3 linked regions of the Callithrix jacchus genome follow. Each later gene encodes a partner of the first gene's protein in a complex. Links are inferred from orthologs where the notes say so. Each region holds a gene or a part of one and is shown in the gene's direction. Other genes may lie near its edges.

Region 1 (4,156 bases):
AAAGGAAAAGACTCAAGAAATAACTTGGCATATTTGAGGAAGAGAAAGGAGGCCAATAAGGTGGGTATCTGGCAAGGAAACAAGTGGTAGGAGAAACAGGAGAGGTAGCAAGAGCCAAAACATGTAGCATCTTGCAGGCCAGGTTAAGCCAACTGGATTTTAAGCTAAGAGCAATGGGAAGCCAAGGAGAGTTTAAAATAGGAACACGGCATGATTAAAAAAAGAAAAAAAAGATTATTTGGGTTGCTGGATGGAGAACTGGGAGGCCAATAAAGAGGAAACTGCAGTCACTCAACTGAAAGGTGATGGTGGCTTGGACAGGGGCCATGGCCATGGAAATGAAGTGGACAAATTTAAGATACAGTCCGAGGCTGAACTGACTGGATTTGCTGATGGACTGATGTGTGCACATAAGAAAAAGGCAGGCTTTGCTTTATAACAAGTACTGAGACTGGAAAAACGGAGGAAAGGATAGATTTAAAGGGGAAAACCATGAGCTCCGCTTTGCCTGTGACAAACATAAGAAGCCTATCCGATATTCACGTGGGGAAGTCAGGTGGGATCCCACTGTGGAACTCCGGGTGAGACTCCGCTTAAGTGACCATTCGGGAGTCACCACACTGCATCACTCTACGTCCTGGTCCGTCTGTCTGCCTTCCTGGGACCCAAATAACTGCCTTCTCCACTTTCAGCCCTGAGCATCTGCGCTGTATCCTCTGGGCAACCCGGAGCGGAAAAACGCTACGCATGAGCTTGGGTCGGGCGAGGCTCCCGAGGAATCGCTCTGCGTGCGGAGGACAAAGGGACAGGGACAGAGCGGAGGGCCGGACGCGGCCTGCCGAGCTGCTCCCGCGGCCGCCGTCACGTCCCCGCGGCGTGGAAGACGCGCAGTAAACTGCATCCTGTCTCCACGTCTGGCCTCCCACCCCAGCCTCCCGGCCTCCTCCGCCCTGCTGCGGCGTCTCCCGCTAAGCCCGCTGGGCCTCGCTCTCACCCTCCTCCTCCTCCTCACGCCGGGCCTTGCTCTTGCCCTTGGACTTCTGGCTGCGCGGTTGGCGTCCCCGCGGCTCCCCGCCGGCCGCGCGCTTCCGAGCCATGTTGTTCTTCGGGGCAAAATCCACTTCGTGAGTGACGCACCTGGCCGCTGTGCACCAGAGCGCGGGCTCCGCCCACAGGCGGGCGCGTCTAGCCCTGTCCCTTAGTTGGAGGCCTAGCCACGCCCCCGAAGGAAGCTCCGGCGATACCCGTGGCCACCAAAAACCACAGGAAGCAGGAAGGAGAAAAACAGATTTCTCTCTACTTCCGGTGTATTATATCCTCCTGTTTCCGGAGATCCGCGTTGCTCTTGTGTTCTCGCGAGAAGCGGGAAAGAGCGCAGGGTTTGAAACATGGCGGACGACGTAGACCAGGTGAGTGTACTTTAAGGGGGTCGCTTCGAGCAGCTTCGCGTACTAGGGCTGGTTTTCCCAAACTTAGGAAAAATGGCCAGTCGTGTCTCCTCCTTCCAGGTCACCATGGTCCAATCCGCCCCGTCCTTTCCGTAACCGCCCCCTGCTCCGAATTTTGCTGCAGGCCCTGAGATCTTTTCCGGTTAGAAGCCCACCTGACTACTATTCATCACACTCTTCAATTCATTTTTTTAAATCTGTAAATTATTATCCTTGCCTGCCTCACGGAGCTGTTAGGATTCCAATAGAAAGCCTGATGATGAAGTTAGAAGTTCATATCATTACTGAGCGCAACCATTATTTATTCATTTAGCATATTTAGTGAAATTCAGCTTTGTATGGTTAGACACTATTCTAAGGGCCAGGGACACTGACATCGACATAGAAGTGATCCCTGCCATTACTTGGAGCTTATATTCGTGAGGAGAACAGATAAAAGTAAATATAAATATGTAGGAGACATAGGAACTGTGATGTGATGTGAAGGAAACAAGGAACTAGTTTGCAGAATAACAGATGGCCCTAGAAGCTTTTTCACCTTGTCTTTCTCTTCCTCAAATATCTTTGGAGATCAAGCCACAAATTCTTAAGCTTTCTACTGAAATCTCACCTCCTCAGAGAGGACTTCTCCTGCGCCAGTAGCACACGCTTTACTCTTCTTACCCTGCTTCATTTTTCTTCAGAGCGCATTATTATTTCGTATTAAATATATGCATCTGTTTTTAATGTATAACCCTTCCCACTAGAATTTAAGTGCCATAAGAGCAGGTTTTTTGTTTTGTTCTTTCTTCTGTCCTTAGGGTTTAGAACAGTGCTGGAAACACTCAACAAATATTTACTTAATGAGGCCTCTTTGAAAAGTCAATATTTAAAGCTACAGTGGGCATCGTAGACAGAGGCTTAGGTAGCAGTAGGGTTCTGTCGTGTGCATATTTTGACAGTATTTAATTATTTATTTGTATGCCTCTCCACATTACAATGAGCTCCTTGAGAGTGGAGATTGTGACTTCTATATCGTTATAATCTAACAGTTGGTTATCTGATCCTTTAACAAACACCTGTTGAACTAGGGAAGTAGGGATCAGTCGAGTCAGGGTTTTGTTTTTTCTCTCATCTGACCTTTTGAAGCTTTAGAGCCTGTTGCATTCAGTCACCTTCCTCCACTGGCCTCATGTACTTAATGAAGATCTACTTGAATAGTCTTTCTCTTAATGGCTGCAACCATTCGACCCCAAGTCATCCTAGCCCTGACCTCTAAAACCGACGTTTCCAGCAGTTCTTTAATAATACTAATAGGAACCATTTCTTTTCTTTTTCCTTTTTTTTTTTTTTGGACAGAATCTCACTCTGTCATCCAGGCTGGAGTGCAGTGGCACAATAGATCTCAGCTCACAGCAACTTCCACCTCCTCAAGCGATTCTCCTATCTCAGCCTCCCGAGTAGTTGGGACTACAGGCGCGTGCCACCATGCCTGGCTAATTTTTCTGGTTTTTTTTTTTTTTTTTTTTTTTTTTTGAGACGGAGTTTCGCTCTTGTTACCCAGGCTGGAGTGCAATGGCGCGATCTCAGCTCACCGCAACCTCCGCCTCCTGGGATCAGGCAATTCTCCTGCCTCAGCCTCCCGAGTAGCTGGGAATACAGGCACGCGCCACCATGCCTGTAAGTTTTTGTATTTTTAGTAGAGACGGGGTTTCACCATGTTGACCAGAATGGTCTCAATCTCTTGACCTCGTGATCCACCCGCCTCGGCCTCCCAAAGTGCTGGGATTACAGGCGTGAGCCACCGCTCCCGGCCAATTTTTCTGTTTTTAGTAGAGATGGGGTTTCGCCATGTTGGCCAGGCTGGTCTCAACTCCTGACCTCAGGTGATCCGCCTGTCTCAGCCTCCCAAAGTACTGGGATTCAGGCGTGAGCCACCATGCCCAGCCAGTAGGAACCGTTTATTACTATTTTCTGTTTACCTGGCACTGTTGTAAATACATTAACTACTTTAAACTTCTCAAGAACCCAGAAGGAAGGTTGTGGCCTCCTCAATTACAAATGAAGAATCAGAATTACAGATGGCATGATTTTTAATCTTAGTTCATTAGAGTCAGGTCACAGCCAGGAGTTGAACCCAGACTGCCTGACTCCAAAACCAGTGCTTTCTTTTTTCAAGACAGAGTCTCACTCTGTTGCCAAAGCTGGAGTGCAGTAGCACGATCTTGGCTCACTGCAACCTCCGACTCCTAGGCTCAAGCCATCCTCCCCCCTCAGCCTCTGAATAGCTGGGACCACAGGCATGTGCCACTGTGCCTGGCTAAGCCAGTGCTTTCAACCAGCGTTTTATACTGTCTACTAAATATATTCATCTTACTGGCCAGTTGGCAGCCTAAACTCAACCTGTGCTAAATTCATAATCTTCCCATTAACCTACACCTCTACTTAGCATTCTGACTAGTGTATGGTAGACATTGAGTGAGTGTTTTTCCAACGATTACATAATATTTGAGATAAAGCTAAAGTCCCTGAGAGCCCATACCCTGAAATTGGGTCAGGCAGTTTGATTTTGAGGGAACAAAGAATAGTCATGATTATTTTGCTGTGTAACTCCTTTTTGTGTATGTGTGTTTTAACCTACATTTATGTAGCACATATTATATGAAAGGCACTGTTCTAAGCCGTCATAGATATCACTTAAGCCTCACAACAACAGTATTAGGTAGACA
Region 2 (4,229 bases), on another chromosome or scaffold:
TCCCACCCGTTTTACCTCCTATATACCTCTGGAATCTGTCCAGTTCTCTGCAGTTCCACCCAGGTCTCAGTCCTCACTGACATCTCTAACAAGAATTACTACATATCCTAAGTGGTCTATATACAGCCACAAGGGCTTCCTCAACCCCAATCTGTTCACACCACTGAGCCCGAGGAATCAAGCCCCCTCCTCCACCACACCCCACTGGGGGAAGACGGCTCAGTGGTATCTCATCCGTTTTAAAATAAAAGCTACAAATTTCTGCAAGGTCTGACCGCTATCACATAGTTTCATCTTGTGCCATACTCCCCTTCATTCTCTTTGTACCGGCCACACTGGTTCTTTGTGCTTTAGGCCGTTTTCCTCCCGAGTGCCTCAGGGCTTGGGAGGAAAATGAACAAGTAGTTCTCTATGGAAGGTTCTGCCTTAGCCTCTTCACCTAATTAATTCCAATTCTTCCTGCAGCTACCAGCGCAGGCATCTTTTCCTCTGAAAAACCTGCATCAGGCAGCACTAGAGGCACTTCCATGTATTAGTGAGGTCACTGTTTAACGTTTTCCCCACCAGACTTAAACGCCTTGAGAGTAGGGACCGTGCCTGGTTCACAACGTATCCCCAACGCGCTGCACAATAAATATCAGCTGGACGATTGAGGAAATGACCACGTTCACGGGCATGAGTCAAATTTCTCAACAAGACTGTGTCTGGAGAAGGAGCCGGACATTTCCTTCATCACGGTCTCTCTCAGCGGGGCATAGAGTAGGCCCTAACCAAAAACTGCAAAATCAGTGGCAGAAACAAGTCAGCCTCCTCGGCCAAATAGGGCACCGGTGGAGGCTGGACACAGGCCCTTCTCCCTGGGAATGCCCGGCACAGGACTGGCCACGATGGGCGCTCTTGAAAAAGGGAGCCGCGGGGGCTCGGTCCTGCCGCCGAGACCCCAAGGCTCCGCTCCTGCCCGGAAAGGGAGCCCAGGCTACTACTTACCAGAGCTGGGGACTCGGGGCCCGCCTCCCACCCCTCGCTATCAGCACCCTCAGCTGAGAAGGGCAGGTTCAGACTGCACAACAGAGGCGTTGCCTCCAGACTCAGACAGCCACCCACCCCGCTCTTCCTCATACGTACTAGGCGTCAGCTCCTGGTCCCCAAATCGCGGCGTTGAAGTAAACGCCTAACCCAGTCAACCTGCGTGTTTCCACCCACAACACCCAGCGCGCCTAGGAAGGTCGCCAGCTCCGTTCACCAATCCTGGAATCGCGCTCTCATGACGTCAGAAAGATAGGCCCAGTAACAAGAGACTATCTGGAGGGCGGTGCAAATGGGAATATTGAAAGCCGATTGGTTCTTCAAGCTGGAAGTTGTGGAGGAAGGACTAAGTTGAAACCAATTGCGTGGCGCCTGAGGGCTGTAGCGCGTTCGGTGGCGGCGCTGAAGAGACCGGTTTCCGCCATGATAGAACAGCAGAAGCGTAAGGGCCCGGAGTTGTCGCTGGTCCCAGTCAAGCGGCAGCGCCATGAGTTGCTGTTGGGAGCGACGGGGTCGGGCCCCGGAGCCGGGCAGCAGCAGACGACACCGGGAGCTTTGCTGCAAGCGGTAAGTGAAGAAGCAGGCGGCCTTTGGCCCTCAGCTCATCTTCCTCTCCCTTCAAAGCGCTGTGTCTGGTGGCCCTGCACCGACCCTTTCCCGCATTGCGGGGGCAGAACGAGAGTTTCCCCCTAAAGTTAAAGCACATAAACACTAAGCGCCCCATAGTTTGCGGATACTCCGTACATGTTCCCCTGTTTGGCGCTCGTTTTCAGCCTCTCGACTGCCCTGTGAGGTGGCTTTAGAAGTAGAGTTGAATTAGAACCTTGGGCTCAAAACCCGGGCCCGGGTTTGAGCATCCTAACTCACATGGATCTAGCTAGCGTAGAACAAACGTTCAAAAAAGTTTGTAGAATGAACGAGGGAGGGAGGAAAGAAGGGAAATGATTGGGGTTGGTTGCTTTTCCCTTTATTTTTCTGCGCTAGTATTATTAACAATTAAATAGCAGCTAACATTCTTGGACCCTTGTACTAAAGTGTTTCCCATGTGAAATATCTATTAATCTTGGTAGCAGCCTGTTAGGAAGGTTATTAACCCATTTTGCAGATGGAAAAACAAACTTACCAAGTACATGATAGAAACAGATTTTGAACTGAGAAACCATGCTCCTAACTATTTTATAAGATAGAAATCGTGATCACACTTCCAGTGTCCTGTTTAGGCTCACATGAGGAAATATGAGTGTCTTCTTTCTCGTGTTCTCAACAAATCCTGCTGGCACCGTCCTCAAAATAAATCTAGAATTGCTACTTCTCCCATCTCCATCACTGCCTCATGGCCTAAGCCATTGTTACCTCAACTGGCATTTTTGTAGTAGGGTCCTAACTGGTCTACTTTCTGCCTTTGGACCGGCACCTGTTACCAAGCCAATAACCAGATGAATCCTTCTAAGTATCGGATCACGTTATCCTCTGCAGAAAACTTCCTGGTGGCTTTCTACTTCACCCAGAGTAAAAACCAAAATTCTTGTAATCATTTGCCCTCTTTCCCTTTACCTCTCTGACCAGTTTTTCATTGCCCACCTGGCTCCAGTTACACTCTCTTCCAAGCCTCGCCTCAGTCCTTTGCATTTGCTGCTCCCTCTGCGGGGATAGCTCTTCTTCCCAAATGTTTACAAGGGAAGAAGAGCAATCTCCTTCTACTAAGCTCCTTCGAATATTTGCCCAAATATAACTTTTTCAGTAAGGGTTTTCCTGACCACCCTATTGTAAATTGCAATACCCTGTACTCTGGAACCCACATTGCTACTTTCTTTCTTTCTCTCTTTATTTTATTTTATTTTTTTTAGAATCTCCATTTGATGCCCACTTGCTTAGTGCAACCTCCGCCTCCAGGGCTCAAGTGATTCTCCTGCCTCAGCATCCTGAGTAGGTGGGACCACAGACACTACTAATTTTTTTTTTTTTTTTTTTGGTAGAGACAGGATTTCACGCAATCCACACACCTTGGCCTCCCAAAGTGCTGGGATTACAGGCATGAGCCAACATGCCCATCCTTTCTTTCTTTCTTTTTTTTTTTTTTTTCTTTTTTTGAGACAGAGTGTCACTCTGTCACCCAGGCTGGAGTGCAGCGACATGATCTTAGCTCACTGCAACCTGCACCTCCTGGTTTCAAGCAATATTTGACTCAGCTTCCCGAGTAGATGGGATTACAGGCGCCCACCACTACACCTGGCTAATATTTTGTATTTTAGTAGAGATGGGGTTTTACCATCTTGGCCAGGCTGGTCTTGAACTCCTGACCTCATGATCCACCCATCTCAGCCCCATAAAGTGCTAGGATTGCAGGCATGAGTCACCATGCCCGGCCCATCCTTTTTATTTTCTATAGCACATGACAGCAAGTACATATTTTGCTTGTTTTCTGTCATCCTCCCTCCTACTCTTCCCCTTTCCTACTGGAAAAGGATATTTTCAATATACCCCTTTCCTTTGTTTGTTGCTGTTTGCCCAGTGCCTAGAACATAACCTTTGTTGTTGTTGTTGCTTTTTTTATTTGAGGTGGAGTTTCGCTCTTGTTGCCCAAGCCAGAGTGGAACGGCGCAATCTTGGCTCACTGCAACCTCTCCCTCCCAGGTTCAATCGATTCTCCTGCCTCAGCCTCCCAAGTGGCTGGGATCAGAGGTCCCTGCCACCACACCTGACTAATTTTTGTATTTTTAATAGAGATGGGTTTTCACCGTGTTGGTCAGGCTGGTCTCGCACTCCTGACCACAGGTGATCCACCCAGCTAACTTTTATATTTTTAGTAGAGTCGGGGTTTCACCATGTTGTTCAGGTTGGTCACAAACTCCTGACCTCGGGTGATCTGCCCGCCTCAGCCTCCCAAAGTTCTGGGATTACAGGTATGAGCCATCATGCCCGGCCTGCACATAGCATTTTGTAAAAATAAGAATATGGCTGGGCGTGGTGACTCACGCCTGTAATCCCAACACTTTGGGAGGCCGAGGCAGGCGGATCACCTGAGGTCAGGAGTTCGAGACCAGCCTGACCAACATGGTGAAACCCCAGCTTTACTAAAAATACAAAAATTATCTGAGTGTGGTGGCAGGCACCTGTAATTCCAGCTACTCGGGAGGCTGAGACAGGAGAATTGCTCGTAGCCATTAGGTGGAAGTTGCAATGAGCCGAGATCATGCCATTGT
Region 3 (4,146 bases), on another chromosome or scaffold:
AAGATTGCAGCTGCTCCTCAGATGAACGAGGCCTTTAAACTCCTCATGGCTCCCTACCCACCACACCAGTGTTAATCGCTCCATCAGGGGTCTGTAGGAAAGGGAAAGAAATTTGAATCAAAAACTTACTGTTTTTTGAATAATTGAAACAACCAGTAGGGAGTGTGCAATTTGATGTCTTTTGCAAAGAATGTTTTTAGGGACAGGGCTTTTTATCCTATCATGTTTGTTCTTTGCAACTAATTATTTAATTTTAATGGCACTTTTCTTAAAATTTTTATTTACATTATATTTTATATTGCAAGAACTTCAAATACAGCCCTCTTAATAAGTCTGTAACGGTTTTGTCTTTACCCAAACTGAGCTTTTGTAGAAGGATATAAGGAAGTCTCTATTCTTTACCAAATCACATCCAGTTGCTTTCTGTCCCTGATACCAAGGGTTCATTTCTTCTGCCTTTAGCCAAAAGAGGGATACAAGGGAGAAACTCTTTATCTTAGAAAAACATTCTGCATCTTAGATTTTATAACACTTAATGGAGTTAAGGATCTGTGTTGGAAGATCTTATCACTTTGTGTATAGTGTTACAAATCATAAATAAAATAAAGTATAAGTTTTCAGCTGATGAAAGTATGTGACAGGGAAAAAGGAACCAAGTCCTGGTGTGACTGTTCTCTTCTTTTTCCTCTCCAATCCTATTAATAGCAAGAGTATTGAGAATTCATGCAAAATTCCAAACCAAGTTCCCACAGGTAGCACTTAGCTAATGTCTGCACACCATTTTCAATTGGAACTAGTTTATAATGTAACACAATTAACGTCATTATAATTCGGAGTTACTTGAGTGGTTTTAATTATTTTCGTATCAATTAACATTGCCATGGAAACAGTCTCTTGCTAAAATGGCTTAAGTCTTCACACATTTAATCAATATCCAGAGGCAGATTTAAAGACTTGAGGTGTTTGTTTTATTTATTTGTTTGCTTTAAACTATTCAAGGACGTTTCTGGGTACACACGGCAGTTACTTAAAACTGTAAATTCCAGTTTTCTATGACTTCAAGTTATTTTTTACACTGCAAATAAATCCTGCCCAAAAGATCACTTCTAGCTTTCTGGATTTTTGTTTTTGTTTTGTATTGAATTGTATTTGTGTTGTATCCGGATTTCTGTTAGAGGAATTCCTTTGCACCAATTTCGCCACTGGACAAACCAACCAGGATTCTTGGATTTGAGCGCTTTGGCGCGGACCGGCCTTTTCGGCCCCAGCGGGCTGCCGTAGCAGAGAAGAACACTGATTGGCTGAGGCAGAAAAGTACCGCTGCCTCGCCGGTTTCGGTTTCGATTCGATGAAGTCCGCGGAGCCCGGGCTCTTGGGGCACCTGTAGTGAGGATTTTGGATCCCGCCGACGAGGTGAGCCGCGTGGCTGCGCGAGCCGAGCAGCCTCGGAAACGGCCTGCGGGGAGCGGGCTGGGGCTCCGGGGAGGGACTGCTGGGTGGTGGGTCCCCGCGAAATGCCGCTTCCAAGCTCTGTGTGCACGTAATGGCCGGGAGTGATCTGTTGGTGGGCGCCTGGAACCGCCGTCAGCGAGGCGTCTACACTGCGCCGAGAGGAGCGGCACCGTCCCGGCTGGCGTCGATTTGGCGTTCGAGACTGCACGAAGTTGTTCGGAGGTTATCGAAATTCCCCAAGGGAACCCCAGCGCTAATCCCAGGATTCGGCGGGAAAGCGGATCCCGAATCTAGGCCTAGGCTTTGCCTGGATTCTTCCAGGCTTCAGAGAATTGCGAAGCCTACCCTACATCGGAGTGGCTGCGCCTAACCACAGGAATTAAGGACTGGACTAACCTGAATTACCGAGTTGTCTAGTCGGGGAACCCCTTGTATGGTCTTAAGTCCTATCGCCAGAGGTTTTCTATGTGTCCGCGTTTGTGCCCCGGCGCGTGAATAGCGGGCATTTTTGTTTAAGGTGTGTAGGATTAGGATGATTGGAATTACCCCACCCTACTGCTCTTAGTAATACGTGACTGTTGTAGAAAAATTGCAAACATAGAAGACTTTAGTGAAGAAAATAATATTCGCTGAACCCTTTCACCTGCCATCTTTTTCTCCTGTATGTACCAGCGTCTACTTGGACTAGGACTGTTCATGTTTAATTACTTAACAGTGTAGTTTTCCAGTTCCATTTAAAAACTCTTCCTAAATATTATTCTAATTTTGTATCTTCTTTTGAGTGGCTGGCCCATCATTGTGGATCCCAGTGTAGGTCCCATAAATTATTCAGTCATTTCCCGACTGTGGGACATTTGGTTGTTTTTGAATTTTTGCATCATCTTAGCATCCCAGATCATATTTTGATAAACATTTCCCCCCCATCCTGTAGATTATTTCCTTGGACTAGATTCTCAGAAGTGAAATTATCAGATAGATGCTGTCATCCATAAGGTCTTTAGGCTTTCATGCACATTGCTGCAGTGTTTTCCAAAAAAGTTTTAGAGGTGGTTGGCAGTTTTACTTGCTTGAATATTGTGCAGAAATCTTGAGAGGCTTATGTCTGTAGTGTGTATCACTGGAGTTAACTGCAGTAGACTGCCTGAATGTTAGAGCAGGAAGAGACCTAAGTGGTCATCTAGCAAAGCCCCCTTATTTTGCAGATGAGGAACCTGGGGCCATGAGAGGTGAGATGAGTTATCCAAGTCACACAGCCAATTAAGTAGCAGAGCTGGGATTAGAACTGAGGTTTCCTGCCTCCCAAGTGAGTACTCTGTGCTGCATCAGGCAGCCTCTCACTGAACTGTGGCATAGTAGATATTAGAATTTAAAAATATGTTTACATCACTTGGATTATTCTCTTTTTTAAAAGTGTACTAACAGATTTTAATCATCAGAGGGATCTTTAGTACTGAAAAATTGTAAAGTGATCATTTTCATGGCCAAGGCTAGAAATCCGTTATTTAGAATGGCAACCCCTTCAAGGCTTTGACAGTTGTTTTCAGATTCTCTATATGTTAGAATAAAAAAAAAATCCCTGATAAATTATAATCTACACTCCATCATTTGGTTAGATGTAGGTGTTGGTTCTCATTTGCTATATTTGGGAGATTTCTTTAAAACTCCTCACTTTAAGGCCAAAGAACAATGTTGCTGGTTTTTAAATTTTTTTTATTTTAGGGCTTATAGCAGAGATTCTCAACTTCCATGGACTTTTTGGCCTGGACGCATTTGTTGTGGAGGGCCGTCCTGTGCATTGTAAAATGTTTAGCAGCATCCCTGGTCTGTACTCACTAGTATAGTAGTAGCACCACCTTCCTCAGTCATGAGAGTTCATGGTGTCCCCAGATATTTCCAGCTGTCCCTGAGCATGGTGGGGGAGGACAGGGGGGATTGCCCCTAGTTGAGAACCATTTGCTTATAGAAATTATCTGGAGAACTTTATAATGTAATGTATAGTGCCTTTGCCTCAGTAGATTCAGGAATTTGCATTTTAACAAGCATCTCTAGATTTGGATACAGCTGGTTCTTGAATGACAGAAACAGTTGTTTTCTCCGTCTTTGGTGCTCATTATAGAGATTACTTGATTAGTATTTGTTGAAGTACACACTTGATATTACTAGTCACTGTACCCATAGTTTGGGCTGGTGGGGGCTGGACAGGAATTTTGCTTGACACTGGCTTTGAATGTCACTTCCACAGACTTGGACAGTATGCTTAGATACCAGGGTTACCAAGTGAGTGAGATATTTTCCCTGTCCCCAAGAAGCTTAAAATTCACTGTGGGAGATCAGTCAGCAAATGGAAACATTACAAAACGGCCTGATAAGGGCCACGACTGAGAGTGGAAAGAGGTGCTTTCAGTGGACTAACTTCGCCTTTGGAAGAGAGGGAGAGAAGAGGCCCCAGCTGCTCGGGAAGGAGGGATTGTCTTCAAAAGACAGCCCGGCTCTCCACTGTGTCAGAGGGAGGAATTTAGAGAGCTGTCCTCGGTGTCTGATTGCCTCGTCAGACACTGCTATCTTAGTATCACGCTGCAATTACTTGGGTTCTAATGTTGTTTCCTTGCAATTTTTGCTTTTCAATTTTTTCCACGCTAAACTGTTAAGTACTCTAGAGTAGGTAAAAACTTACAGGTAAACATTGCCAAGAAA

Evidence for each region.
Region 2: LSM3 (region 1) and SNRNP40 share a complex: the UniProt entries of both Homo sapiens proteins name them as parts of the U4/U6-U5 tri-snRNP complex. The link is inferred for Callithrix jacchus from reciprocal best matches to the Homo sapiens genes LSM3 and SNRNP40.
Region 3: LSM3 (region 1) and LSM6 share a complex: the UniProt entries of both Homo sapiens proteins name them as parts of the precatalytic spliceosome. The link is inferred for Callithrix jacchus from reciprocal best matches to the Homo sapiens genes LSM3 and LSM6.

What each region holds. Positions count from the first base shown.
Region 1 is NC_133516.1:71,157,602-71,161,757, forward strand, and holds the start of LSM3 (U6 snRNA-associated Sm-like protein LSm3), read left to right. Parts: upstream 1-1,347; 5' UTR 1,348-1,388; coding exon 1,389-1,409; intron 1,410-4,156. Other genes in the region: XPC (DNA repair protein complementing XP-C cells), read right to left, coding at 995-1,097. UniProt on the Homo sapiens protein: Plays a role in pre-mRNA splicing as component of the U4/U6-U5 tri-snRNP complex that is involved in spliceosome assembly, and as component of the precatalytic spliceosome (spliceosome B complex).
Region 2 is NC_133508.1:67,930,871-67,935,099, reverse strand, and holds the start of SNRNP40 (U5 small nuclear ribonucleoprotein 40 kDa protein), read left to right. Parts: upstream 1-1,419; 5' UTR 1,420-1,449; coding exon 1,450-1,593; intron 1,594-4,229. Other genes in the region: ZCCHC17 (zinc finger CCHC domain-containing protein 17), read right to left, coding at 988-1,119. UniProt on the Homo sapiens protein: Required for pre-mRNA splicing as component of the activated spliceosome. Component of the U5 small nuclear ribonucleoprotein (snRNP) complex and the U4/U6-U5 tri-snRNP complex, building blocks of the spliceosome.
Region 3 is NC_133504.1:50,820,491-50,824,636, reverse strand, and holds the start of LSM6 (U6 snRNA-associated Sm-like protein LSm6), read left to right. Parts: upstream 1-1,336; 5' UTR 1,337-1,969; intron 1,970-4,146. UniProt on the Homo sapiens protein: Plays a role in pre-mRNA splicing as component of the U4/U6-U5 tri-snRNP complex that is involved in spliceosome assembly, and as component of the precatalytic spliceosome (spliceosome B complex).